4 linked regions of the Anolis sagrei genome follow. The protein of the gene in region 1 interacts with the protein of each later gene in a pairwise test. Links are inferred from orthologs where the notes say so. Each region holds a gene or a part of one and is shown in the gene's direction. Other genes may lie near its edges. The genes, in order: CEP70, C6H1orf35, FAM161A and RBM10.

Region 1 (7,047 bases):
GGAAAATATTTCATATGTATTTAGTTCAATTTTTATTCAAGGTATTCTAGATATTTCTGCATAGAGCTCACCAGCATTTTGAAATAAACTGAATGAAAGTGAATCTACATAGATTCAAATTCGGCAAGTGGTGCTTTTTAAAGTAATGTTTCTGTATTTGTTATATTCTTGATTAATATGAAATACCAAACACTTATCACTGCGTTTGTTTTTGTCACATTCTTTCATGCTGAAATAAAAAAAAGTTTTACATCTACAGAAAGGAGATTACGGTGGTAGATTCCTCACTTTCAAAAGAACGGTATGATTTGAGGACACAAAAGTAGGATTTTGTTTCTAGGATACCGAAACATGAACACAAACACATAGGATCACATAAACTGGGCGAGCTTCCTACGGTCTTTTTAGCTACCTAAAAGACACTTCCTACATATTTTTGGATGAAGTAGGAATATGAGCATTTGACAGTTGACACAAGTTGAGTATCCCTTTATCCAAAAATACAAAACGCTCCAAAATTATCCACCTGGGTGGCTGAGCCAGGGACACCTTTGTTTTCTAATGAAACTGTTATTTTGTACTGTATTTAATATGTTGGAAGCCACTCTGGGGCCCTTTGTGGGAGAAAAGCAGGATATAAATTAAAATTTGTTATTGTTGTTATTATTATTAATTAGAAACACAACAAGCTGAGTCCACAGCAGACAAGATCACTCTGCTGGCTGTTGTATTGGATCACACGTCAGACACTTCCCAAGTGTCTAGGACTGTGTGATGTATCAGCAAATAATGCGTGCAGATCCCAGTAAGGTGGCCTTCTGCACCTGGCAGATGGTAATCTTGTCAGTGCCGATTGTGTTTAAGTGGAGGCCAAGGTCTTTAGGCACTGCACCCAGTATGCAGATCACCACAGGGACCACCTTTACTGGCTTGTGCCAGAGTCTTTGCAGTTCGATCTTTAAATCCTCATATCGTATCAGTGAATAATGTGTGCAGATCCCAGTAAGGTGGCCTTCTGCAGTTGGCAGATGGTAATTTTGTCAGCGCCGATTGTGTTTAAGTGCAGGCCAAGGTCTTTAGGCACTTATTATTATTAACTGAGTTCCATGATATAAAATATGGTGCATAACAGCATTTCAGAAGCTGTTTACTGGCACATAAATGAATTCCGTGTTTATTGCCTTGGGTCCCATCTCCCAAAATATTGAAGAAGAAGAAGAAGAAGAAGAAGAAGAAGAAGAAGAAGAGGAGGAGGAGGAGGAGGAGGAGGAGGAGGAGGAGGAGGAGGAGGAGGAGGAGGAGGAAGGAAGAAAGAAGAAAAAGAGTAATAATAATAATAATAATCCCAAACACTTCTTCTGGTCCCCACAAACACTTCGAAGAAGGGATACTCAACGGGTGCAAATCACACTGATGCGGTTTGACTCCACTTCCTCTGCCAGGGCTTGATGCTACTGAATTCTGGGATGTGTAGTTTGGTGAAGCACCAGCACTCTTGGCAGGGAAAGGAACTACAGAGTATCTCACTGTGCCACAGCATTGAGCCATGGCAGTTAAAGCGGTGTCAAACTGGACGAGGGGGAAGTTTTCTCTAGGAGGAGGAGGAAGGGGGGGGGAGGGAGGGTCGGGTCTACCTGGCCCTCTAAATCTCGTAGTCTCCCGGAAACGAGGCCTTTCCTCGGGACGGAGCCTGCAGTGCTTCCCAGTCTCTTCTGCCCAGAGCCAGAGCAAGGAGGCCGCCTCCTCCTTCCCTTTCCTCTCCCTGGGGTCACCCTCCTCGCCTTTCCTCCCAAAATGGCGGCGGGGCCTACCTCGAGTGGCCCCTCTGCCCAGCAACGCACCCGCCGAGGCGGACGGATGGAAGTCCTCATCCCCGGAAGTTTTCCCCAGCAGGCCCCGCCCCTTCTCTCGCCCCGCCCCCTCTGGAAACGCCCATTAAGCAGGGGCTCGAGGCTTTCAGGAATTTGGACTTCAACTCCCAGAAGCCTCCGCTGCCACCGCCAATGGCCGGGCATTCTGGGAGATGAAGTCCAAAACCAGACTGGGAAGAGGGTTGCTGTGAGTTGTCCGAGCTGTATGGCCATGTTCCAGAAGCATTCTCACCTGACGTTTGGTCCACATCTATGGCAGGCATCCTCAGAGGTTGAGAGGTTTGTTGGAAACTAGGCAAGTGGGGTTTATACATTTGTGGAATAATGTCCAGGGTGGGAGAAAGAACTCTTGTCTGTTGGAGGCTAGTGTGAGTGTTGCAATTGGCCACCTTGATTAGCCTTTCAGCTTCAAAGCCTGGCTGCTTCCTGCCTGGGGCAATCTTTTGTTGGGAGGTGATTAGCTGGCCCTGATTGATTCATGCCTGGAATCCCCCTGCTTTTCATAGAATCAAAGAATCAAAGAGTTGGAAGAGACCTCATGGGCCATCCAGTCTAACCCTTTGCCAAGAAGCAGGAATATTGCATTCAAATCACCCCCGACAGATGGCCATCCAGCCTCTGTTTAAAAGCTTCCAAAGAAGGAGCCTCCACCACACTCCGGGGCAGAGTTCCACTGCTGAACGGCTCTCACAGTCAGGAAGTTCTTCCTCATGTTCAGATGGAATCTCCTTTCTTGTAGTTTGAGTGCTGTTCTTTATTTACTGTCCTAATTTTAGAGTTTTTAAAATACCGGTGGCCAGATTTTATTCATTTTCATGGTTTCCTCCTTTCTGTTGAATAATATGCTGTGTCCAGGTTGGTTCATCAGGTGTTCTGCTATGGCTGACTTCTCAGGTTGAATTAGTCTGCAGTGCCTAGCATGATTATTGATTCGTGTCTGGGCATTCCCCAGATATATAAATCTCACTTGCCAAGTTTCCAACAGACCTCAAAACCTCCCTGCTGTTAGGAATTGTGGGAGTTGAAGTCCAAAATACCCGGAGGGCCCAAGTTTGCCCATGACTGCTTCCCCATCCATGTTTTCAGTTCCTTTCTAAAGGTTATTAGACAAGGCCTTGAGCCTTCCCTGCCAAAGAGGGCTGGGGTCTCACCAAATCACAACTCCCACGATTCCACAGCATTCAGCCGTAGCAGTTGATGTGGTGTCGAACCGCATTCATCCTACTACAGCACGTTTCTCTCTTTCGCCCTCTATTCATGCCTCTTCAAATCCTAAAGCACTGCTGGTCACAGCTGACCTGGAGCACTCAAGGGCCAGGGCTTCCCAGTTCCCAGTGTCTATGCCAGAGTTTTTAAGGTTGGCTTTGAGCCCGTCTTTAAATCTCTTTCCCTGTCCACCAACATTGTGTTTTCCATTCTTGAGTTCGGAATAGAGCAACTGCTTTGGGAGACGGTGGTCAGGCATCCGGACAACATGGCCGGTCCATCAGAGTTGATGGTGGAGGACCATCGCTTCAGTGCTGGTGGTTCTTGCTTCTTCCAGCATGCTGACATTTGTCCGCTTGTCTTCAGCACAACTCTATACACTAATGCGCCTTAAGCATGCATCTAAACTGCAATTTGGCAGCATTTTAACTTTCCAGAGAAAGTTTAAAAACTCTAAAATCAGGGGGTAGTAAATAAAGAACAATGAAAACAGGGGAATTCCAGACATGAAACAATCAGGACCAACTAACACCTCCCAATAAAGGATTCCCCCAGGCAGCAACCAGCCAGGCTTTGAAGCTGCAAGGCTATTAAATGCTAATCAGGGTGGCCAATTGCAACATTTACATTTGAGAGTAAACAAACCCCACTTGCCTAGTTTCCAACAGACCTTGCAACCTCTGAAGATGCCTATGAGACTCATGAGGTCACCATAACTTCTTGGGTCACTTGAAACATCCTCAAGGCAGTAGATCCTGGCTGATCTTGGAAGCTAAGCAGGGGCAGCCCTGGTTAGTACTGGAGGGGAGGCCTCAGGCAGCTATTTCAGAGGAAGGCATTGGGCTTTCCTTTCTTTGCCCAAGTCGGCTCTGAAATACAAAGATGCCTTCAAGCCCCTCCTTGGGGCGGAAACTGGGGCGGGCTTTTCTCTCCTTCTTGCTTTCCCCTTCCTTCTTTCTTCCCTTCCTTCCTTCCCTTCACCCCTCCTTCTTTCCTTGGAGACCCGCCTATAACGGCTTCTGAGACCGAGGCAAGGAGCCCAGGCCCCGGTATGTACCGCAAGAAGAGGAGAATGATGCGAATTAAGCAGGGAGGAAGGCACTGAAAGGGAAGGAATGCATCTGATACCCCTTTAACTGTGTTAAACGCCCTCTCCTTGGCTGCATACACTGCAGAATGAATGCATCTGAGTCCCCTTTAACTGTCATGGCTCCATGCTGGGAGATGTAGTTCTGCAAAGGCTCCAGCCCTCTCTCCTGGGGAACCACCAAACTACAGCTCCCAGGACCTCATAGCTGTGAGCCATGGCAAGTAAAGTAGTGTCGCTTGTAGAGATGCAGACTTGGTTGGTTGAATGGTTGTCACACAGCCAGGGGATTCAGTCTTCTACACAGCCATCTATTTTATTATATCAGGAGCGAACCAAGGGTACAGTTTGGTTATTTATTATTTACTATATTATTATAGTAAATAATAATTTACTATATTTATTATTTTTATATATATATATATATATATATATATATCTAATAAATAAATATATTTTACTATATTTATTTATTATTTACTATATTACTATTATTATATTGCCCCTCTCAGCCTGCAGGTGACTCGGAGCAGTTTACAGTCAGCATCAAAAACATAAAACATGATTAAATCAATTAGCTTAAATATAAAACCAATTAAAATAGTCAATATCAATAAAAAAAATATATCAATTAGAGTCTCCTTGTTAAAAGCATTGTTAATAGCATCATTCCATTTTTCCTATGTTTGTTATATTGCATCTGCAAACGCTTGCTCAAAAAGCGAAGTCTCCCGGTTTTTTTTTTAATGTTAAAAGGGAAGGGGCCGATCTGATATCCCTACAGAGGGCATTCCATAGCCAAGGGGCCACCACTGAGAAGGCCCTGTCTCTTGTCCCTGCCAAACGTACTTGTGACGAAGGCAGGGCCTCCCCAGATGATCTTAGAGTCCTAGAGGATTCATAAGGGGAGATGCGTTCGGACAGATAAGTTGGGCCAGAACTTGTATTTTAAAACAACACGAAGTTTAAAAACTTTGCGTTGTATTAAATGTCCTTTGACTAGTAGCTGGCCACTTGGAATGCCTCTGGTGTTGCTATAAGAAGGTCCTCCATTGTGCATGTGGCAGGGCTCAGACTGCATTATCTGTGGTTTGCTCTTCTCTACACTCGCATGTCATGGACTCCACTTTGTAGCCCCATTTCTTAAGATTGGCTCTGCATCTCGTGGTACCAAAACAAAGTCTGTTCAGCGCCTTCTAAGTCACCTAGTCTTCTGTGTGCCCAAGGTGGGAGTCTCTCATTTGGTATCAGCCAAGGATTGAGGTTCCAGGTTTTTGCCTGCCACTTTTGGACTCTTGCTTGCTGAGGTGTTCCTGCGAGTATTTCTGTAGATCTTAGAAAACTATTTCTTGATTTAAGGCATTGGCGTGCTGGCTGATAACTGAATGGGATGGGCCGGAGATGTCACTGCTTTCATAGAGCCATGAAAGCCACAGGATCCTCTATGGCAGGCATGGGCCAACTTGGGCCTGCCCTCCAGGTGTTTTGGACTTCAACTCACACAATTCCTAACAGCCGGTAGGCTGTTAGGAATTGTGTGAGTTGAAGTCCAAAACACCTAGAGGGCAGGCCCAAGTTGGCCCATGCCTGCTGTGGAGACTTCACTCTGGCAGCACACCATGGGAGGCTTTATTGCATGGTGTTTGCAAAGCACTTGGTGAATACTTTGCTACACCATGGGCCTTTCAAGTACAGAACATTATAGTATACACCTAAAAACATAAACAAACCTTTTTTTGGTAGTTGTGTAGAAGGAGTTGCCACAAGGATTTGCTTTTAACACAACCAGCTAGCAAAGCTTCTGAAATTCCCTCTTCTACCATGTACACGACTTAACTTGGGAGGATTTGTTGTTTTTACGTGGATTATTTCGGCCTTATTTCTACTGGGAATGTTTACAAAAAGCACATTGTTTGAATTGTTTTGCAAACAAATAATAGTTGATGTCATTTTGTTGCATTTGGTGAACATTTTGATTTCCCACGGGTCTTGTAAGTACAGAATATGACTGTATTCACTTGAGAAGAGTATGAAAATGAGAATATTTTAACATGCACCTGGAAATAATATGACAGCTAGATTAAACAAACGTTTTGTGTATTGTTGAAGGCTTTCATGGCCAGAATCTCTAGGTTGCTGTGATTTTTCTGGGCTGTATGGCCATTTTTTTTCATGTCAGGAGTGACTTGAGAAACTACAAGTTGTTTCTGGTGTGAGAGAATTGGCCATCAGCAAGGGGACGCCCAGATGTTTGATGTTCTACCATCCTTGTGGGTCAGCAATCCTATCGGCACAAGGCTTTGACTCCTGTATGGCCATGTTCCAGAAGCATTCTCTCCTGACGTTTCACCCACATCTATGGCAGGCATCCTCAGAGGTTGTGAGGTGTTTTGTGGTTGTGTTGAAGGCGTAACTTTTCACACAACCAAGTCACCACCACTTCAGAAATCTCCTTGAAACAGCCATGAGAGAGCCAATGTGGGATACTGGTGAGAGCATTGCACTAAAGCTCTAGAGACCAGGGTCTGTATCCTCAACTGTGAAACCCAGTGGGTGATTTTGGGCAAGTCACACTCTCTCACTCTCACAGGAATGCAATGGCAAATACCCTCTGAACAAATCTTACCAAAAGAACACTGTAATCGGTTCATTTTAGGATCCCCATAGGTCCAAAAAAAGTTTTGAAGATATTCAATAACAACAAACACAGTCACGAAAGGTAGAAGAGCCATCTCCAGTTTCCACTCCGGCAATCCTACTTGGAAAAACTGCATTGTCTCACACAGATTGCTCGTTATTTCACCTTTGTTTCTATTGAGAAGGGTAGGATTTCATTAGTGGCACTCATTTTATAGTCAAGAATCATTGTTGATGTCATTCGTA
Region 2 (7,187 bases), on another chromosome or scaffold:
GGGTACAGGGAGCGCACGACGCCATTGCTGCGCCAGCTCTACTGGCTGCCTATTAGCTTCCGAGCACAATTCAAAGTCATGAGCCATGGGGAGAGGTGGGTAAAACACCATCATCCACATGCATTTATGCTTCATGGACACTGGTGCACTTGTTCATCCTCATCATCCATTCTCACACATTTGTGTATCATGATGCACCATAATCATGCATTTGTGCACCACCATCCACATGCATTTGTGCACCATCATCCATGTGCATTTTTGCATAATGGACACTTCTGCATTTGTGTGCATCTTCATCCTTATGCACTTTTTGCATTATGCATCATTCTCACACATTTGTGCACCATATAATAATAATAATAATAATAATAATAATAATAATAATAATAATAATGAGGGAGATGCAGTTTTAAAAGGGAATTGAAACTTTAGTTATATACCATCACCATCTCCCAGAAGGCACTTCTTTTGAAAGTTTTTGAAAGCACCGATAGTGCAACAAATCCCAAAATGCAAGAAAACACATATATCTGTATTACTTACTTACTTAGGCGATCCCTCGTTGGACGAGTAAGATGGTCTTCCATCATGGGTTTCCTTGTGGGTCCGTATGTGGCTGTGGAGCCCTATTCTTGCTCTGCATCTTCTTCCGCAGTGAGGGCATTTTTTTCCAGGTGGAAGGCGGTCCCGGTCGGGGTTGGCTTGACGCGCCTTCCTCCTGGCACGTTTCGCTCTTTCACCCTCCACTCATGCCTCCTCGAATTCTGCAGCACTGCTGGTCACAGCTGACCTCCAGCTGGAGCGCTCAAGGGCCAGGGCTTCCCAGTTCTCAGTGTCTATGCCAGAGTTTTTAAGGTTGGCTTTGAGCCCATCTTGAAATCTCTTTTCCTGCCCACCAACGTTCCGTTTTCCGTTCTTGAGTTCGGAGTAGAGCAACTGCTTTGGGAGACGGTGGTCAGGCATCCGGACAACGTGGCCTGTCCAGCGGAGTTGATGTTGGAGGACCATCCTTTCAAGGCTGGTGGTCTTTGCTTCTTCCAGCACACTGACGTTTGTCCGCTTGTCTTCCCAGGAGATTTGCAGGATTTTCCGGAGGCAGCGCTGATGGAATCGTTCCAGGAGCTGCATGTGACGTCTGTAGACAGTCCACGTCTCACAGGCGTATAGCAGGGTTGGGAGGACAATAGCTTTATAGACAAGCACCTTGGTATCCCTACGGATGTCCCGGTCCTCAAACACTCTCTGCTTCATTCGGGAAAATGCTGCACTTGCAGAGCTCAGGCGGTGTTGTATTTCGGCGTCGATGTTGACTTTGGTGGAGAGGTGGCTGCCAAGGTAGCGGAAATGGTCGACATTTTCTAATGTTACACCATTAAGCTGTGTCTCTGGCATTGGAGAGGGGACGGCTGGTGACTGCTGGAACAGCACTTTGGATTTCTCGATGTTCAGTGACAGGCCAAGCTTCGTGTATACTTCTGCGAAGGTGTTTAGAGTGGTTTGTAGATCTTCTTCTGTATGCGCACAGACGACATTGTCATCAGCATACTGGAGTTCTATAACAGATGCTGTTGTGACCTTGGTTTTGGCTTTCAGTCTGCTGAGGTTAAACAGCTTGCCATCTGTCCGATAGATTATTTCCACTCCGGTGGGAAGCTTCCCGTCAACAAGGTGAAGTATCATAGCAATAAAGATGGAGAATAGAGTTGGGGCAATAACACATCCCTGTTTGACACCCGATTCCACCTTAAATGGGTCACTTTGGGAGCCACTGCTGTCCAAGACTGTTGCCATCATGTCATCATGGAAGAGCCGCAAGATGTTCACAAATTTGTTAGGGCACCCGATTTTGTGGAGGATGGTCCAGAGAGCGCTGCGATTCACTGTGTCGAATGCCTTTGCAAGGTCGATGAATGCCATGTACAGAGGTTGGTTTTGTTCCCTGCATTTTTCTTGGAGCTGTCTTGCAGTGAAGATCATGTCCACGGTTCCTCTGGAGGGGCGGAAGCCGTTCTGGGATTCTGGGAGGGTGTCTTCTGAGAGGGGCAGAAGGCGGTTTGCAAGGATTCTTGCGAGGATTTTCCCAGCTGAGGTTAGAAGGGAGATACCTCGATAGTTTCCGCAGTCTGTTCTTTCCCCTTTTTTGAAGAGGGTGATGATGGTGGCATCCTTGAAGTCTGCTGGGATTTTCTCGGTCACCCACACTTTTTCTATGAGCTGGTGGAGTTGGTGTGTCAGCTCGGGTCCTCCCTCTTTAAAGATTTCAGCAGGGATCCCATCCGGTCCGCTGGCTTTGTTATTCTTTTGTTGGCTGATGGCATTGCTGACTTCTTCCAAGCTAGGCAGTGCTGCAAGCTCATCTCTGGTTTGTTGTTGCGGGATTTGTGAGAGGACCTCTTCGGCCACATTGGAGCTGCAGTTTAGGAGGCTTTGGTAGTGTTCTTTCCAACGTAGTGCAATTGACTTTTGGTCCTTCAGGAGTTTGGTTCCGTCTGATGAGCGTAGAGGCTGTATGCCATGGTTTCTTGGTCCATAGATGACCTTTGTGGCTTTGAAAAATCCTTGAGCATTATGGGTATCTGCCAGGTGTTGGATTTCTTCAGCCTTCTTTGTCCACCAGATGTTCTTGAGTTCTCTTGTCCTTCTTTGGACCTCAGCTTTTGCACTGGCATAGATCTTTTTCTTAGCAGCACAGTTGATGTCTCTCTGCCATATTTGGAAGGCTTTCCTTTTCTTGTCGATTAGCTGTTGGATCTCGATGTCATTTTCGTCAAACCAATCTTGGTGTTTCTTGGCTTGGTATCCAATAGTTTCTTCGCAGGCTTGGATGATGGAGGTCTTCAGTTTGTTCCAATGTTCCTCAACATTTTCGGGGTGTTCTGTGGGTAGAGGGTCCTTGAGTGCTGTTTGGAGATGAGCTCGTCTGGAGGGCTCCTGAAGGGCTTGGGTGTTCATTTTGCGCCTTGTTTTCCTTCCTTGGAGTCTGCGCTTGGGAGCTTGGGAGCTTGGATAGTATATCTGTATATACTATCTTCCACATGCATGGCTACACCATCATCCACATGCATTTCTGCTTCTTGGACACTTATGCATTTGTGTATCCTGATAATCTATGCACTTGTGCATAATGCACACCATTTCCACATCATCGTTCGCATGAATTTCTGCCTCATGGACACATGCATTTGTGCATCTTCAGCATCCGTATGAACTTTTTGCATCATGCATCATTCCCATGCATGTTTGCCTCATGGACACTCATGCACTTGTGTATCCTGATAACCTATGCACTTGTGCATCATGCACACCATTTCCACACCATCACCTGCATGCATTTCTGCCTCATGGACACACATGCATTTGTTGATCTTCAGCATCCTTGTGCATTTTTTGCATCATGCATCTCTCCCATGCATATTTGCCTCGTGGACACTCATGCATTTGTGTATCCTGATAATCTATGCACTTGTACATCATGTACACTATTTCTACACCATCATCCACATGCATTTCTGTCTCATGGATACTCATGTATTTGTGCATCTTCAGCATCCTTATGCACTTTTGCATCATTCCATGCATGTTTGCCTCATAGACACTCATGCATTTGTTTACCCTGATAACCTATGCACTTGTGCATCATGCATGTCATTTCTACACCATCATCCACATGCATTTCTGTCTCGTGGATACTCATGTGTTTGCGCATCTTCAGCATCTTGATGCACTTTTTTGCATCATGCCTCTCTCCCATGTATGTTTGCCTCATGGACACTCATGCATTTGTGAATCTTGATAATCTATGCACTGGTGCATCATTCACACCATTATCCACATGCATTTCTGTCTCATGGATAGTCATGCATTTGTGCATATTCAGCATCCTTATGCACTTTTTGCATAATGCATAATTGCCTCATGGACACTCATGCATTTGTGTACTCTGATAATCTATGCACTTGTGCATCATGTACACCATTTCTACACCATCATCCACATGCATTTCTGCCTCATGGACACTCATGCATTTGTGCATCAACCTTGTGCACTTTTTGCATCATGCATTGGTGCAAAAGCTTGGGAAACGTTCTCAAGAGAAACCCTCCCTTGCATTGTCCCTATATTTTTGCAGCCAATGGTCTCTCCCATATCTGCCGGAAGTGGATGCTGGAGGCTCTTCCTGTTTGCAGCAGCACGTGAGTTTGCAAAAGGAGGGAGCTTTGCAGCTAGGATCCTGCTGGGAAAGTTTGCCTTCCTGGTAAGTGCACCCCTTCTCCCCCATTTCACTTTCCTATCATGCATAAATGGGTGCATCTACACTGTAGAATAAACGCAGATTGGCACCACTTTGAACTGCCAGGGCTCAGTGCTAGGGAATCCTGGGAGTTGTAGTTTAGTGAGGATTCAGGCAGAGAAAACTAAAAACCTTGCAAAACTAGCATTGAGCTATAGGAATAAGATAGAGCTATAGTTCCAAGTGGTGCCAAATTGCATTCATTCAGCAGTGTAGATGCACCTTTAGATATTTTTCCCTGTTCAAATTGTTGTTGTTAGTTTTGGCCCAGCTTTGCAATCTGTTTAAATGATATTCACTTGTATAAAGATTTTGCAGTTTGCAAAATTGCCACTGAAATGCAATACAATTGCTACCCAAATGCAATAAGCAAAAACGCAGCAAGTTGTTATTATCAGTGGATGCTAACTTTACATTTTGTTAGCATTGGTGTCCATCTTTGCTCTGTTTATTATTATGTATGTGCATTTCCAAAGTATTGTGTTTTCACTCTGCGTTTTAAGCCCACAGCCTCAAGCCATGCAGAGAGGCAGGCAAAAAATAAAGTGCATTATTATTATTATTATTCAAAATACAAGATTTTTTTTTTTTGGTCGTGTCAGGAGTGACTTGAGAAACTGCAAGTCGCTTCTGGCGTGAGAGAATTGGCCATCTGCAAAGACGTTGCGGAGGTGACGCCCAGATGTTTTTGATGTGTTACCATCCTTGTGGAAGGCTTCTCTCATTTCCCCGTATGAGGAGCTGGAGCTGATAGAGGGAGCTCATCCACGCTCTCCCCGGAGTCGAATCTGCAACCTGTTGCGTCTTCAGTCTTGTCAGCACAGGGGTTTAACAAGATGAGTGCACAGCAGACACTCTGCTGCCTGTTGTATTGGACTGCGTGGTGTATTGGCAAATAATAATAATAATAATAATAATACTTTATTTATACCCCGCTACCATCTCCCCAAGGGACTTGGTGCGGCTTACATGAGGCCGAGCCCGCAATACATCAATAATAAAGCAATAGCAAACAAACAATACAAAACAGCAACGCATGACAGGGGGTGGCTAGTGTATGTGTGTGTGTATATATATATATGCACACACACAACACACACATATATATTGGCTCCTGGTGGCACAGGATTAAACCGCTGAGCTGCTGAACTTGCTGATTGAAAGGTCAGCGATTCAAATCTGGAGAGCAGGGGTGAGCTCCCGCTGCAACGCCCAGTTTCTGCCCACCTAGCAGTTTCAAAAACATGCAAATGTAAGGAGATCAATAGGTACCGCCTTGGCAGGAAGGTAACAGTGTTTGAGGACCGGGACATCTGTAGGGATACCAAGGTGCCTGTCTATAAAGCTATTGTCCTCCCAACCCTGCTATATGCCTGCGAAACGTGGACTGTCTACAGACGTCACATGCAACTCCTGGAACGATTCCATCAGCGCTGCCTCCGGAAAATCCTGCAAATCTCTTGGGAAGACAGGTGGATAAAAGTCAGCGTGCTGGAAGAAGCAAAGACCACCAGCATTGAAGCGATGGTCCTCCAACATCAACTCCGCTGGACAGGCCACATTGTTCGGATGCATGACCACTGTCTCCCAAAGCAGTTGCTCTACTCTGAACTTAAGAACAGAAAATGTAATGTTGGAGGTCAGGAAAAGAGATTTCAAGATGGGCTCAAAGCCAACCTTAAAAACTCTGGCATAGACACTGAGAACTGGGAAGCCCTGGCCCTTGAGCGCTCCAGCTGGAGGTCAGCTGTGACCAGCAGTGCTGCAGAATTCAAGGAGGCACGAGTGGATGGTGAAAGAGAAACGTGCCAGAAGGAAGGCGCATCAAGCCAACCCCAACCGGGACCACCTTCCACCTGGAAACCAATGCCTTCACTGTGGGAGAAGATGCGGGTCAAGAATAGGGCCCCACAGCCACCTACAAACCCACAAAAATAGTCATCAAGGAAGACCATCTTACTCGTCCAACGAGGGATCGCCGAAGAAGAAGAAGTGCTGTATGCAGTAATACTGGCCACATGACCTTGGAGGTGTCTATGGACAACGCCGGCTCTTTGGCTTAGAAATGGAGATGAACACCAACCCTCAGAGTCAGACACGACTTGACTTAATGTCAGGGGGAACCTTTACCTATATATATATATCCATTTCGACTCCCAGTCCTCCTTAATAGATCCATGAGTATATGTGGTTCTCCTTTCCGTGATATCATCTTGTAGCCTATCCAATAAATATCCATGCCATTTGAAATGAATTGGTTCCCCATCCGCTTGGGCCTTCTGCAGCTGGCAGATGGTAATTTTGTCAGCGCCGATTGTGTTCAAGTGCAGGCCAAGGTCTTTAGGCACTGCACTTAGTGTGCCGATCACCACTGAGACCACTTTTACTGGCTTGTGCCAGAGTCTTTGCAGTTCGATCTTTAAATCCTCATATCGTGTCATCTTTTCCAGATTATTATTATTATTATTATTATTATTATTATTATTATTATAAACACAACAAGATGAGTCCACGGCAGACACTCTGCTGGCTGTCGAATTTGGTTACACGTTGGGCACTTCCCAGGTGTCTAGGACTGTGTGATGTATCGGCGAATAATGCATGCAAATCCCAGTAAGGTGGCCTCCTGCAGCTGGCAGATGGTAATTTTGTCAACGCCTTCGGGCTGAGAACAGCGGTATATAAGTAAGGTAAATAAATAAATAATAATAAACGCCAATTGTGTTTAAGTGCAGGCCAAGGTCTTTAGGCACTGCGCCCAGTGTGCCGATCACCACTGGGACCACCTTGACTGGCTGGTGCCATAGTCTTTGCAGTTCGATCTTTAAATCCTCATATCGTGTCATCTTTTCCAGATTATTATTATTATTATTATTATTAGAAACACAACAAG
Region 3 (7,539 bases), about 67 Mb from region 1:
TTAGCCCCCTCTCACAAATATGCTTCTTGTTTGAAAACAGTTAAAGAGCACTTGCCTCAGGTATATGGATGTTCTCAAACTTTTTTATGCAAACTGAAATGTAACAACTTAAATTGGAACTGAATAAGATACTGTAGTTGCATATAGTCCAGATTCTTTTGTTACCAAAATTTTATCCTAGATATGAAATACTTAAAAAAAACTTCACTTAACTTGAAAACTGCCAGCTGTAGTTTTAGGGAATTGCTATAGAAATGTTCTACCTTATTAATAGGTTGTGCACTTGGGCTTATTTGTTTTTCATCTTCTCCTACTCCATAATGAGACCACTGAGAAATACGTATTGACAATAGATTTTCTGCTTGTCATTTCTAATAAACTAAAGTGGCAGTTCTTACATTGTAGGGTGGAATTTCCAATATCCTTGAGGAGTTGGTTGTCCAACCGTTGTTGGTATCTGTCAGCGCTCTCACCCTGGCTACAGAAACCGTACGCAGCATCCTGAAGATTGACGATGTGGTAAGCATAGTTTAAATACTCATAAAATGTTCTCTCAAATGTTTACTTTGTTACATTTCACAGATCTGTTACTGCCTTGCATCAGTGTTGAAATGCTGAGTGTTTAATGACAACTGATGAAATAGTTAAGATTCAAAGAGGCATTGTAATTATTAGTGGAAATTATATTGAATAATGTTAAATAAGTAATATAGTGATGAAGTGTCATACAATAATCTCTCATTTTTTGCAGGTAAACACTCGATGAAAGGTCTAAAGGAAAAGAAAGCACAGGTCAGCAACATGTCATACGTTTCTAACATGACGTCTTCACACAAACTGTGTTGGACATCTGCTTAATTCCAAGTTACACTGGCGTACTTTTGTCAATTTAAATTAATAAAACCTCAAATTTGAAAGGCTTTGTTTTAATTTTTTTATATAACAAAATACTTGAACACATATTGCATTGATTGCCAAAAGCTCTGCTTTACACTTTGCTAGACCATGTCTACCTTTAAACTCTACTATTGTGGCTGAAGAGACTTAAGCAATTTCACATCCTTTGAAATTAGTGAGACTTAATTTGTGGGGCTTTATTTATGTCATGTCTTGGGCTGTAACCGTATCTGTCAGCTGTTAACTGTCAGCAATTGGTACTTTTAAATCTAGCATGTATTTCACTGAAGGTATAATTAAATGTTGTATCGTATAAATCTAATAATAGTTTCTAAGAACAGGATTGACACATGTTAAGAACGGTATTCTGAAGAAAATACAAGACATGCAACATTTTTATCCCAAATTGGTAGTTAAAGGCAATGTCTTTTTAATAGTAGGTGTTGGTCACTTCTTGTAACACCTAGAAATTTGGATACAGTGAGGCTGCGAAAAGATTGTCCAAACCCAGTACTGCTGTCTCTGTTCTAAGACGCAAGGTGAAAAAAAGAGGTGTGTGATTATTATGTGGTGGCAACTGTTGCACAGTGAAAAAAGCCCATTTTTTGCAATGGAGACTATTATGTGATGAAATGCGGGTATCTAAATAGTAAGTCACATATCCCAGAGGCACATATAAGGGTTCTTCAAACTTGTGAGGAGAAACGGCATGCACAGATGGTTTTTCAGGACACTTGTGGCTTGTAGCAATATCTGTAAGCAAAACTAAAACGGATTCAGAGTACTAATGGATTATTTGTGAATAGGAAGTAAGTGTAGCTCCAGCCTAAAGATAATGAGGTGCAGATGTTGCTCCTTTGAATTGCAAGAATTATAATGCTAAAATACAGTACAAAGTGACTGTAAGACAGCACACAAATCCCTCATATGGGCTCATGATAACCATACATCCCTGCTCCCCATCCATGCCAGCGGGAGTAAAGGTAGCTGCTCTGCCATGCATATGGATGTATTTCTTAATATACAGGAGTGTAATGGAAGACTCCTCTGGCCACCAAGTCCTGAGAAATGGCTGTAACTCATTTTCCCTACTCAATAAATCTCAATTTTTGAATAGCACAGAATCTTCTCTTACTAAGCTTTGAGACTAGTTACCAACTGCCACCAATTCACAGCTATGTCCCAACATTTCAGATGAAAACCAGGACAGCTGTGACAGCATTTATGGTAACTGAAATCCACAAGCCATTGAAATCCACAAATATGCAGAGGAAACCATGAAAATGAACAAATTCTGGTTACCAGTATTAAAAACACCATAATCAATACAGTAAATAAAGAAACACCACTTGAAAACAGGAGAACTCGACAATTCCTAGTAAGACGTATTCGGTTTCAGTTCTATGGGTTGGCCAATAATCTTTTCCATTGCAATGAGTATCATTTTCCAAAATTTAATTGCCTTTTTACATGACCACCAGAGGTGGAAAAAGGAACCCACCTGAGAATGGCATTTCCAACATTTATCTGACATGTTCTTGTAACATTTGGATAATTTGCTTGGAGTTATGTACCAGCGGTACATCATCTTGTACCACTTCTCGCATAGATCATGGGAGTCTGTGTATTTTAGTGTGATGTTCCATATGCTCTCCCATTCTGATATACATATATTGTGGCCGATGTTTTGTGCCCACCTCACCATGCATTCTTTTATGTTCTTTTTCCGTTGACCAAGCGAGTAATATTTTGTAAATTCTGGAAATTAGTTTGTTTTTAGAGATCAGGTTCTTATCCCATGATTTTTCTTTTTCAAATCCAATTTTCTTGTCTCTGGAATGCCTCTTTTAATTGTCTATACTGGAAAAATTATTTAGCTACTTGACTACGGCTGCGAGAATCACATATGCTAAAAAGTGGAAAGAGAAAGACACACCAAGTATTGAAGGCTGGATAATAAAAGTTACAGAAATTATGAATATGGACTATCTTACACACAACCTTAGAAACAATCAAGGGAAAACAAGAGAAGACTGATTGGACCACAGTCAAGAACTTCATAGAAGAAAGAATCCGATAAGAAAGAATAAAGATACAAGGACAGAAAACAAGGAAAATGATAAGGAAAAATACCATCAACCTACGGGACAGAATATGAAGACTACAAATGCTCCTCCATCCACCAATCCTGCACCCCCCTTTTTTTCTTTCTCTTTACACCTCAACTCATCACTAAGTCACAACCCTTCCCTCTCCCTTTCAGCCCCCCCCCCCCCGTTCCCCTCTTTCTCTTTTTTCTTTCTCTTTCTCCTTTTAAGTGCATTATTTTCAAAACTAATAAAAATATTTTAAAAAAGAAAACAACTCCAGACAGCAAACAACCAAGTGCCCGTTATTACCTCCCAAATGATGCCTCCAGACAACAATACTCTCACTAATTGATTGCAGTTGCAAAGCTATTCAATGCTAATCGAGCTTGCAAACTGCAACAAATAGACAAGGGTTCTTTCTCCCACCCTGGGCATTCCCTACATACACACACACCCATTTGCTTCACTGCCAACAGAACCTCTGAAGATGCCATTAGCCAAAGATGCAGGTGAAACGTCAGGGGAAAATGCTACTGAAACATGGCCATACAGCCTGAAAAACTCACAGCAACCCTGTGATTCCAACCTTTGACAATACATTTATGGTAAAGATGGCAAAGGTTATTGAATGAGGGGAACCCAAGCAAAGAGAGAAGGCAGTTGCCTTTTATTTATTTATTTAGGAAATGTCTATGCCACCTTTCCTCAGGCGGACCCTAGGCAGTTTACATCATCTTAAAAACATCGCAACATAAAACCGTCAGCTAAAACAATAATACAATTTCTGAGTATGCTCTACAGCATAATCCATGCTTCCCTTTTGCTTGGGCAAGAGTTTGCACTCCTCCTGAGTCAAAAGAGGCAAAATAAGGGTTTTTTCCCGACAGGCCCTATATCCCAGAATCTGATCCCAGGTTTTCTGTTTTAAACTGGATTATATGAGTCCGGTGGCGCAGTGGGTTAAAGAACTGAACTGCTGAGCTTGTTGACCAAAAGGTCGCAGGTTCGATTCCAGGGAGCGGCGTGAGCTTCCGCTGTCAGCCCCAGCTTCTGCCAACCTAGCAGTTCGAAAACATGCAAATGTGAGTAGATCAATAGGTACCACTCCGGCGGGAAGGTAACTGCGCTCCATGCAGTCATGCCGGCCATATGACCTTGGAGGTGTCTATGGACAACGCCGGCTCTTCGGCTTAGAAATGGAGATGAGCACCACACCCCAGAGTCAGACATGACTGGACTTAATGTCAGGGGACAACCTTTACCTTTATATGAGTCCACACTGCCAGATAATCTGGGATAAACAGAAAAACCGGGGCCAAATCCTGGGCTATGGGGGCCTACCTGGAAGGCTTTGAACTCATTCTGCAGCAGCTGCAGTAAGATGAAGAAGGAGGGAGGGAAATTGGGAGGAGAGATAAGAAAGTGGGACAACAGAGGATGAATGGGGCCAGCTGGAGGTCAATGTAGTTTAGTTCTGTCAATGGGCGACGTGCGGTTCTTTTCGGCGCGTGCGCACAATTGTCCTGGAGGCCCCGCCCTCAGGAGAGTCCTGTCCGCGCGGCCGTTAGCGAAGGTGTTGTGTTCCCTAAGAGATGCCGTAGCGTCCCAAGCCGGGCGCCTTGGTAACCCAGCGAGGGCTTTCATTCAGTCGCGCGCTCGCGGGGAGCGGGATGGATGCGGGTCACCGGGCCGCTTCCCTCGCTGTGTCCTGCCTCCGAAGGCCGGTGGACCCTCACACCAAGGCCCCCACGGCGCTGTACGAGCGGGAGCGGGAGCGGGGGGACGGAGCCTGGCCGCAGGTGGGTACCTCAAAGCACACCCTCTCAGCCTCAGAGGGAAGCCAGGACAGGCCCACACGTCCTGCCTGACAAGGTCGCCGTGCCCTACTAGAGCTGAAAGACTAGGCCAAGAGCCTGCATCCCACCTGAAATAATTGTATTGATCTTAGGATACTTTCGAGTAGTGGAAATGTGAGCCTATGTCTTGTCGAAGGCTTCCATGGCCAGATTCACTGGGTTATTGTAGGTTTTTTGGGCTATATGGCCAAGTTCTATAAGCACAACCTCTGCGGATGCCTGCCATAGATGCAGGCGAAACATCAGGAGAGAATGCTTCTACAACATGACCATATAGCCCGAAAAGCCTACAACCCAATGTGAGCCTAACTCACAATCCCATAGAGCCCCATTAATCACAGGTCCTGCATCTACTTACACATCTTCACCTGCAGTTTATTCTTTCCAGCTACAGCATATTCTACATTGAATTTCGTTCCTATGCCCCACCTGTCTCAAAGTATCACACTAAAACTCCCAATCTCTGAGGATGCCTGCCATAGATGCAGGCAAAACGTCAGGAGAGAATGCTTCTACAACATGGCCATATAGCCCGAAAAACCTATAACAACCCAGTATCACACTAAAACTGAAAAAGTAAGCAAAGAGTCTGCATCCTATCTGAAATCCTGTGGCTGCCTTCTGAAGGATTTTGAGGCTTGTAGTTTAGGGAGACCCAGTGCCCCTCTGACAGCATTTTAAAGGCCCCTCCCCTGAAGCCTCATTTTTTAATGTCAGGGGCGACTTGAGAAACTGCAAGTCACTTCTGGTGTGACCATCTGCAAGGGTGTTGCCCAGGGGACGCCTGGATGTTTCTGAGGTTTCACCATCCGTGTGGGAGGCTACTCTCATGTCCCCACATGGGGAGCTGGAGCTGACGGAGGGAGCTCATCTGTACTTTCCCTAGATTTGAACCTGCTACCTGTCGGTCTTCAGTCCTGCTGGCACAAGGGTTTAACCCACTGTGCCATCGGGGGCTCCCCTGAAGCACAAGGGCAAAAGGCTACTATACACAAAAAGTAATGCAGTTATATAATCATGAGAATGTACATTAGATCTGTGCTGTAGTACTACAACATTCAATGTACTAACAGCTTGTACAAAGTATACTTAACCGAGATACACAATGCAAATCTCTAAACCAAAAAAATCCTTTATGTGGGATAAACACCTGATTCCTACAGTAAAATGCACAAGTTTATCAGTCCTTTTTGAAAATCACAAGTTTAGAAACAACCAATCAAAGTTTTTAAGTCCTTTCTTTGCAAGTCTCTGAATCAAAAAATTTCCTAATGTGGGATAAACATCTGATTCCTACAGCAGAATGCACAAGTTTATAAGTCATTTTTTAAAACAATGTTTGTCAGCAGCAAATCAAGGTTTGTCAGCCCTTTTTTGAAGTCCACAGTTCATAAACCACAACCAGTTTTGACTATGTGGCGTCTTCCTCAGGTGGTAGTTGATACAAGTGTAGAAATCCTTGAATAGTCAATTTACCACAGTAGAGAGTTCTTCAAGTCAATATATAAATGTCAACAATGACATGGACCTACGGGGAACACATATGAGTCCCCTGAAGCCCCTGATTCAACAGGAAGCAGACACAGGATTTCAGACGGGGTGCAGATTCTTTGCCTACTTTTTCAGCTCTAGTGTGCTATGAGTCTCTGTGAAATAAGCAATAAATCATATATTTTAAACACACACACACACATATAAAAGGAATTTCATGAGATAAGTTGTGTCCCCATACATTTTTATTACAATTTATATATGTGTGTATCTCTTTTAAGAAGTTGCATGATGATGATGATGTTTATTTATACCCCACTTTTTCCTCTCCACAAAGGAGACTCAAAGGAGACCTTGAAAGCGTTTCCGTACATTTTAAAATCCAAAAATATACAAACATTAAAATAGAAATAAACATTAATAGTTTAAATCCTTAAAACAGATAAACATGTATTCAAAACTAAAGCCACAGCAACCCTCTGACCTGATTTTAAAAGCCTTCCTTTTAAAAACCCTGCCCGAATAAAAAAGTTTCAATAAAAAGGTTTAACCTACAGGTTGCTATAAAACTGAATCTCCGTGTCACAAAATGATGCATGTCTCAAAAGTGTGTCACTGATATGAAATGTTTGGAAAGCTCTGCTGTATGATATATATCGCAATGCTACCTAAACAAATAAACGGCAGATCCCATGTAATGCTGCCCCTTCAGCCTTTTTTCCTTAAAAAATCAGACACAGGACATGAAGATGTCCCAGTTCCATAACTGAAGCTTTGCTAGCCTACTTGTACATTTGGCAAGTTAGGAAAACCACACATTTATTCCCTGTTGTACAACTAGGAAAAAGCCTGAGCTTAGAGACCAGAATTCATTTAGCTGCTGATGCTTTTTCTAACCTGATAAGAGCTGTGTGGCCTGGGTTCGTACAGTGTTGATGTACTAGGCACAGTTGATTTAATTGTGATCAAACTGGTTGAAATCGTAATTGAAATTTCCTGAAACACTTAGTTTTAATAATTAAATAAATAATTAAAATCTCTATTAAAATATGTTTACTAGAAGCATGTTACTGTTTAATATAACCATATTTATATTCAGAGTTATAGATTTTACTTGAAATGTAATCAATGCTGAATTGTTTTCCGATTAATTTTTTGTTCATCAAAAAAGGAATCTTCAGCATTAATATTCTGCGTCCATGTCC
Region 4 (6,836 bases), on another chromosome or scaffold:
TTGGCCACATCATGAGAAGAAAGGAAAGCTTGGAGAAGAGAATGATGCTGGGGAAGATTGAAGGAAAAAGGAAGAGGGGCCGGCTAAAGGCAAGATGGATGGGATCCTTGAAATGACTGGATTGACCTTGAAGGAGCTGGGGGTGGTGACAGCCGACAGGGAGCTCTGGTGTGGGATGGTCCATGAGGTTATGAAGAGTCGGAAACGATTGAACGAATGAACAACAACAAATCACTACAGCTGCCCTTCACTTTGGGTGCATACATGTTCCTCATATCTATACTCCTGACACACAGAGCTTAGAAGTCATTATATACACACTAAGTGTTTTTAAAGAGAATGACAACGTTTGTGGCCACTGAAGAAAGCAAAGCTGTGACTGTCTCAGCCAGCCTCGCAATATCACCCCGAGTAAGACAGGTGGAGAGCTGTAACTTTGGCCTCTTAGAGGGACAACAGCTAGGGATCCGGAGCACTGAGCTATGCCAGTTGACTGGACTGGGCTGCATCACTCCTCCCCCTTTTCTCCCCTCATAGGCTTCTTCCCCTGCCCTCCTCTCTCTCTCTCTCTCCTTCTCACCTTGGCGAAGACGGGGATCTCCTCGTCGTGGTCGTGGAGGGGCCTGGGGGCCAGGTGCGAGGGGACCGGAGCCGGGGGAACCTGCACCGAGGCCGCCGAGCGAGACTTTTCCCCTGAGGAGACCCCGCGGGCCGAAGGGCGGGCCAACCTCAACCACCTCTGAAAGCCCGCCAGCCGCCTCAAGGCCGCCATGGTCGGTCGGCTCTGCCGCCGGAATTCCGTCGCCCGCTCGCCGGAAGTTCCTCTCTCGTTCGCCGGAAGTGGAAATCTTTCGCGCTTCTCCCTCTCAGAGAGCTAGCGCCAGAAAAGGACCTGAAGGCGGAAGCGAACTTTGCGAGCCCTTTCAGGTTGAAGTTAGGCGTCACGAAGTTGGTATCAAACTGCATTAATTATACCGTGTAGATCAGGTATGAGCAAATTTGGGCCCTCCAGGTGTTTTGGACTTCAACTCCCACAATTCCTACCAGCCGATAGGCTGGTAGGAATTGTGGGAGTTGAAGTCCAAAACACCTGGAGGGCCAAAGTTTGCTCATACCTGGTGAAACACACCCGAGGGGAAAGCATGGGTAACTGTCCCTTTAAGGGAGGGAATCGCCCCGTTTGGAGTTCTGCCTCCCCATCAGACTCACACTTGGAAACTTAAGAGCTGGCAATACATTTATCTTACATTCACCACAAGGTCAGTATTGCTTTTTTTTTCTATCAGAAGAAACAACAGTATCCAAAAACCAAAATATCCCTTGCTCTGGCCAGAGACTGACACTAGTTTACAACTACTTCTTTCCATGGGATCGTATGGTTCTGCATGAAAGCCTATAAGCAGTGGTTCTCAACCTGTGGGTCCCCAGGTGTTTTGGCCTACAACTCCCAGAAATCTCAGCCAGTTTACCAGCTGTTAGGACTTCTGGGAGTTGAAGGCCAAAAACATCTGGGGAACCCAGGTTGAGAACCACTGGATATGATACAAGTGGCAGGGAACCATGGCATAATCTATCTATATAAATAAAAATGTAATGTTCGTTTGTGGGATTAACATAACTCAAAAACCACTGGGCAAATTGACACCAAATTTGGACCCAATGCACCTATCAGGCTAAGGAGTGAACATCACTCATAAAAACACTGAAAAACACAGTAGAAGGGACTTAAAAGGCCACAAAATAAAAAATACATTACAATGCATGCACAAAACCACATATTTATATGCAAACACATATATATACACTAATATATACACACATATACGCAACACGTGGCAGGGGATAGCTAGTCTATATAAATTAAAATGTAATGTTTGTTTGTGGGATTAACATAACTCAAAAACCACTGGGCAAACTGACACCAAGTTTGGTCACAAGACACCTACTAACCCAAGGAGTGACCATCACTCAAAAAATTGATTTTGTCATTTGAGAGTTGTAGTTGCTGGGAGTGATAGTTAACTTAAAATCAAGGAGCATTCTGAACTTCACCAACGATGGAATTGAACCAAATGTGGAACACAGGACTCGCATCACCAACAGAAAACACTAGAAGGGTTTGGTGGGCATTGACTTTGAGAGTTGTAGTTCACCTACATCCAGAGAGCACTGTGGACTCAAACAATGATGGATCTGGACCAAACTTGGCACAAATATGCCATATGCCCAAATATGAACACAGATGGAGTTTGGGGAAAATAGACTTTTGGGCATTGTAGTTACTGGGATTTATAGTTCCCCTGCAATCAAAGGTTAGTGCTTGGATAAGAGACTACTGTTGGCTGCATCCCAAAGGAAGGGACAGGCAAAACCACCCTTGAGGATTTATTATTTATTTTATTTATTTATGACATTTATATGCTGCGTCTTACAAGTTATATATACAGAGCGGCTTACAAGTTATATATACATACAATATTATATTATTAGCATAGCACAATATTAGTATTATATATTAACATTTTGTACTATACCGCTATACTGTAATATCATTAGTAACATTACATGTAATATAATGTAATATTGCATTCTTCTTATTATTATTATTAGGACACTGAACTTCCACGGCTCAGTGTTGTGGAATCGTGGGAGTTGTGCTTTCAGAGGAGGGTGACTAAAATGATAAAGGTTCCAGAGAACAAGCTCTGTGAGCGGTTTCAAGAGCTGGGCATGTTTAGCCTGAAGAAGAGAAGGCTGAGAGGAGACATGATAGCCATGTATAAATGGCTATCACGTATAAATGGCTATGCACGAAGTCATAGGGAGGAGGGAGCAGGCTTGTTTTCTGCTGCCCTGGAGATTAGGACTCGGAGCAATGGCTTCAAAGGACAGGCAAGGAGATTCCACCTGAACATTAGGAAGAACTTCCTGACTGTGAGAGCTGTTCAGCAGTGAACTCTCTGCACCAGAGTTTGATGGGGGCTCCTTCTTTGGAGGCTTTTAAGCAGAGGCTGGATGGCCATCTGTCAGGGGTGCTTTGAATGCAATTTTCCTGCTTCTAGGCAGAATGGGGTTGGACTGGTTGGCCCATGAGGTCTCTTCCAACTCTAGGATTCTATGAGACATGAGAGGAGCTGTGTATCAATATGTGAAAGGGTGCCATAAGGAGGAGGCAGCAGGATTGTTTTAGGACTAGAACAATGGGCCCAAATGACAGAAAAGGAGATTCCACCTGGACATGAGAAAGAACTTCTCAGAGCTGTTCAGGAGTGGAACTCTTTCTCTGCACTGGAGTGTGATGGAGGCTCCTTCTTTGGAGGCTTTTAAACAGAGCCTGGATGGCCATCTGTCCAGGGTGCTTTGAATGCGATTTTCCTGCTTCTTGGCAGGGGGTTGGACTGGATGGCCCATGAGGTCGCTTCCAACTCTATGATTTTACGTGGTTTCAAGCCTTCTCTGTCAAAAATTCCAGGATTCCATAGCACAGCCCTGGGCAAACATCTGCCCTCCGGGTGTTTTGGACTTCAACTCCCACAATTCCTAACAGCCGGTAGTTGAAGTCCAAAACACCCGGAGGGCAGAAGTTTGCCCATGACTGCCATAGTAGTTAAAGTGCTGTCAAACTGCAATCAATATAGACATTGAACTCGGGAGGCGGAGACTTCCTTGTGACCACTTGGATTAAAGCGGAAGCGGGGAGCGATGATAGACAGCCGCCTTTGACCAATCCGATTGCAGAGTGGGCGGCCGCTGCGAAATATAAGCGGCCAATGGGCGCACTCGGCTTCCCGTGACGTCAGTGGCGAGGGAGGGAGGGAAGGCGGTGGGGGCTCCGGTGTCACCGACGACGAGGAAGGAGAGCGAGAGGAAGCGAGCCTCAGAGGCCGCGACGCCGCCATTTTGCGAGGCGGGCGGCGCAGGGCGAAGCAGGCCTCGCTCGGGGCGAACCTCCTCCTCCTCCTCGCCGCCGCTCCTGGCACCAGAGGGAAGCGAGGGCCAGGTGAGAGAAGGCGGAGCCGGCCTCAGGCGCCACAGGGAGGCGGGGCTTCTTGGCCGTTGGGCATCACGCCCTTCTGGTCGCTGTTTAGTTAGGGCAGGCATCCTCAAACTGCGGCCTTCCAGCTGTTTGGGCCTCCAACTCCCAGAAGCCCTAATGAGCTTGTTCAATTGTAAGAAATTCTGGGAGTTGAAGGCCCAAACAGTTTGAGGATGCCTGAGTTAGGGCCTCAAAGAAGGCAGAGAAAGGAAGCCTCGCAGCCCGGCTTTAAAGAAAGGCCAACGGGTTATTCGTGTCTGCGGAGGGCCGTCGAATGAGTGCAATCGACGCCCCTTGAATTGCCTTGCTGAGGAACTCTGGGAGCTGTAGCTCTACTTCTGGCTTCTCTGCCTCACCAAACTCCAAATCCCATGGGCTTGAGCCATGGCAGTTAAACTGCGTTATTTCTAGAGTGTAGATGCACCTAAGTGCGCTTTCGAGTTGGCAAAGATAATACAAAAACAGTTATGAGAGAGCACTGATTCTGCACTGTAAAATTAGCACAGTTTGATGCTGCTCTAACTATTAGGGAACCTTGGAGTTGTTCTTTAGCCTTCTCCGCCAAATAATCATAGAGTTGGAAGAAGAAGAGAAGAAGAAGAACAACAACTTTGGGTTGTTGTAGTTTTTCGGGCTATATGGCCATGTTCTAGAGGCATTCTCCCCTGACGCTTCGCCTGCATCTATGGCAAGCATCCTCAGGGTTAGTGAGGTAGTCAGACCTCACTACCTCTGAGGATGCTCGCTACAGATGCAGGTGAAACGTCACGAGAGAATGCCTCTAGAACAGTGTTTCTCAACCTTTCTAATGCCGTGACCCCTTAATACAGTATCTTATGTTGTGGTGACCCCCAACCATTTTGTTGCTACTTCATAACTGTAATTTTGCTACTGTTATGAATTGCAATGCAAACATCTGATATGCAGGGATTTTTTCATTTACTAGACCAAATTTGGCACAAATACCCGAAACGGCCACATTTAAATACTGGTGGGGGGGGGGGGGGTTGATTTTGTCATTTGGGAGTTGTAGTTGCTGGGATTGATCGTTAATCTTCAATCAAAGAGCATTCCGAACTCCCTCGATGATTTTTTTTTTGTCGTGTCAGGAGTGACTTGAGAAACTGCAAGTCGCTTCTGGTGTGAGAGAATTGGCCGTCTGCAAGGACGTTGCCCAGGGGATGCCTGGATAATTTGATGTTTTTATCATCCTTGTGGGAGGCTTCTCTCATGTCCCCACATGAGGAGCTGGAGCTGATAGAGGGAGCTCATCCGCCTCTCCCTGGATTCGAACCTGTGACCTGTCAGTCTTCAGTCCTGCCAGCACAGAGGTTTAACCCACTGCGCCACTGGGGGCTCCATTCCATCAATGATGATGGAATTGAACCAAACTTGGCACACAGAACTCCCATGACCAACAGAAAATACTGGAAGGGTTTGTTGGGCACACACCTTGACTCTTGGAGTTGTAGTTCACCTACATCCAGAGCACTGTGGACTCAAACAATGATGGATCTGGACCAAACTTGGCATTTATACTCATTATGACAACATGTGAACACAGGTGGAGCTTGGGGAAAATAGAACTTGATGTTTGGGAGTTGTAGTTGCTGGGATTTATAGTTGACCTGCAATTAAAGAGCATTTTGAACCCCACCAACGATAGAATGGGGCCAAACTTCCCACACAGAACCCTCATGATCAACAGAAAAGACTGTGATTTCTGATAGTCTTTGGTGACCCCTCTGGCACCCCCTCACGACCCCCCCCCCAGGGGTCCCAACCCCCAGGTTGAGAAACGCTGCTCTAGAACATGGCCATATAGCCCGAAAAAAACCTACAACAATCCAGTGATTCCGGCCATGAAAGCCTTCGATGATACAAGAGGAACTTTATTTTTCTACCCCGCCTCCATCTCCCTGAAAGGACTCAGGGCGGCTTACATGGGGCCAAGCCAAAGCAATAACAAATAGAACAGCACAAAACAGCATAACTATAATAACAAGCATCAAAATCAACAACAGACTGATTTTGGAGGGGGGGGGGAGGAGGACCACTATGCGAATTGGTTAAAGAATAAGGTGGTTGAATAAGGTGGATAGAAACGTATAATAGCATAGGAAATAATGTGGAAACAGAGCGATTTAACAGGATCAGTTCAGCTTAACTTAAACAAATATATAGTAATGTAATATAGGAATTTAGAATCAGGTCATGATACAAGTCATTTGTCATAGGAGTTGTCAGTCGAACGTACAACAAAACATCCACATCTTTAATTCCTTACAGAATGTGTGTAGGGAGGGTGCCAGCCTAATCTCCCTGGGGAGGGAGTTCCAGAGACACTGAGAATGCCCTCTCTCTCTCTCTCTCTCTCTCTCTCTCTCGTCCCCAGCAACCGCGCCTGAGACAGGGGTGGGAGCGAGAGAAGAGCATCCCCAGAAGATCTTAATCAGTTAAAAACCACAGCACTCCCTGACTAATCTTAAACACCCCTGAATTAGAGTCACACTCTCTCCATGGCTGGCCCAAAATGTTTTGCTGTCTAGGGTCAAGAACAAAATGTTGGTCTCCCTGTAATTCAGCATTTCATATGCAAACTGTCTGGCAGTTGTTGTTTTGTGCTTTAGGTCTGACATCCTCAAACTGTGACCCTCCAGCTATTTGGGCTTCCAACTCACAGAATTTCTGACCATTGAACAAGCTGATTAAGCCTTCTAGGAGTTAGAGGCCAAACAGCTGGAGGGCTGCAGTGTGAGGATGCCTGCTTTAGACAGTTTCCAACCTATGGTATCCGTAA

The links.
Region 2: the proteins of CEP70 (region 1) and C6H1orf35 interact in binary tests that used the Homo sapiens proteins (3 or more experiments, as listed by UniProt). The two-hybrid records come from large-scale screens. The link is inferred for Anolis sagrei from reciprocal best matches to the Homo sapiens genes CEP70 and C1orf35.
Region 3: the proteins of CEP70 (region 1) and FAM161A interact in binary tests that used the Homo sapiens proteins (3 or more experiments, as listed by UniProt). The two-hybrid records come from large-scale screens. The link is inferred for Anolis sagrei from reciprocal best matches to the Homo sapiens genes CEP70 and FAM161A.
Region 4: the proteins of CEP70 (region 1) and RBM10 interact in binary tests that used the Homo sapiens proteins (3 or more experiments, as listed by UniProt). The two-hybrid records come from large-scale screens. The link is inferred for Anolis sagrei from reciprocal best matches to the Homo sapiens genes CEP70 and RBM10.

Annotation. Positions count from the first base shown.
Region 1 is NC_090021.1:218,659,134-218,666,180, reverse strand, and holds the start of CEP70 (centrosomal protein of 70 kDa), read left to right. Parts: upstream 1-4,023; 5' UTR 4,024-4,126; intron 4,127-7,047.
Region 2 is NC_090026.1:127,925,537-127,932,723, forward strand, and holds the start of C6H1orf35 (multiple myeloma tumor-associated protein 2), read left to right. Parts: upstream 1-4,175; 5' UTR 4,176-4,258; intron 4,259-7,187.
Region 3 is NC_090021.1:151,972,033-151,979,571, reverse strand, and holds the start of FAM161A (protein FAM161A), read left to right. Parts: upstream 1-4,518; 5' UTR 4,519-4,657; coding exon 4,658-4,786; intron 4,787-7,539. Other genes in the region: CCT4 (T-complex protein 1 subunit delta), read left to right, coding at 406-519, 752-766. UniProt on the Homo sapiens protein: Involved in ciliogenesis.
Region 4 is NC_090022.1:193,516,458-193,523,293, forward strand, and holds the start of RBM10 (RNA-binding protein 10), read left to right. Parts: upstream 1-3,822; 5' UTR 3,823-4,000; intron 4,001-6,836. Other genes in the region: NDUFB11 (NADH dehydrogenase [ubiquinone] 1 beta subcomplex subunit 11, mitochondrial), read right to left, coding at 581-772. UniProt on the Homo sapiens protein: Binds to ssRNA containing the consensus sequence 5'-AGGUAA-3'. May be involved in post-transcriptional processing, most probably in mRNA splicing. Binds to RNA homopolymers, with a preference for poly(G) and poly(U) and little for poly(A).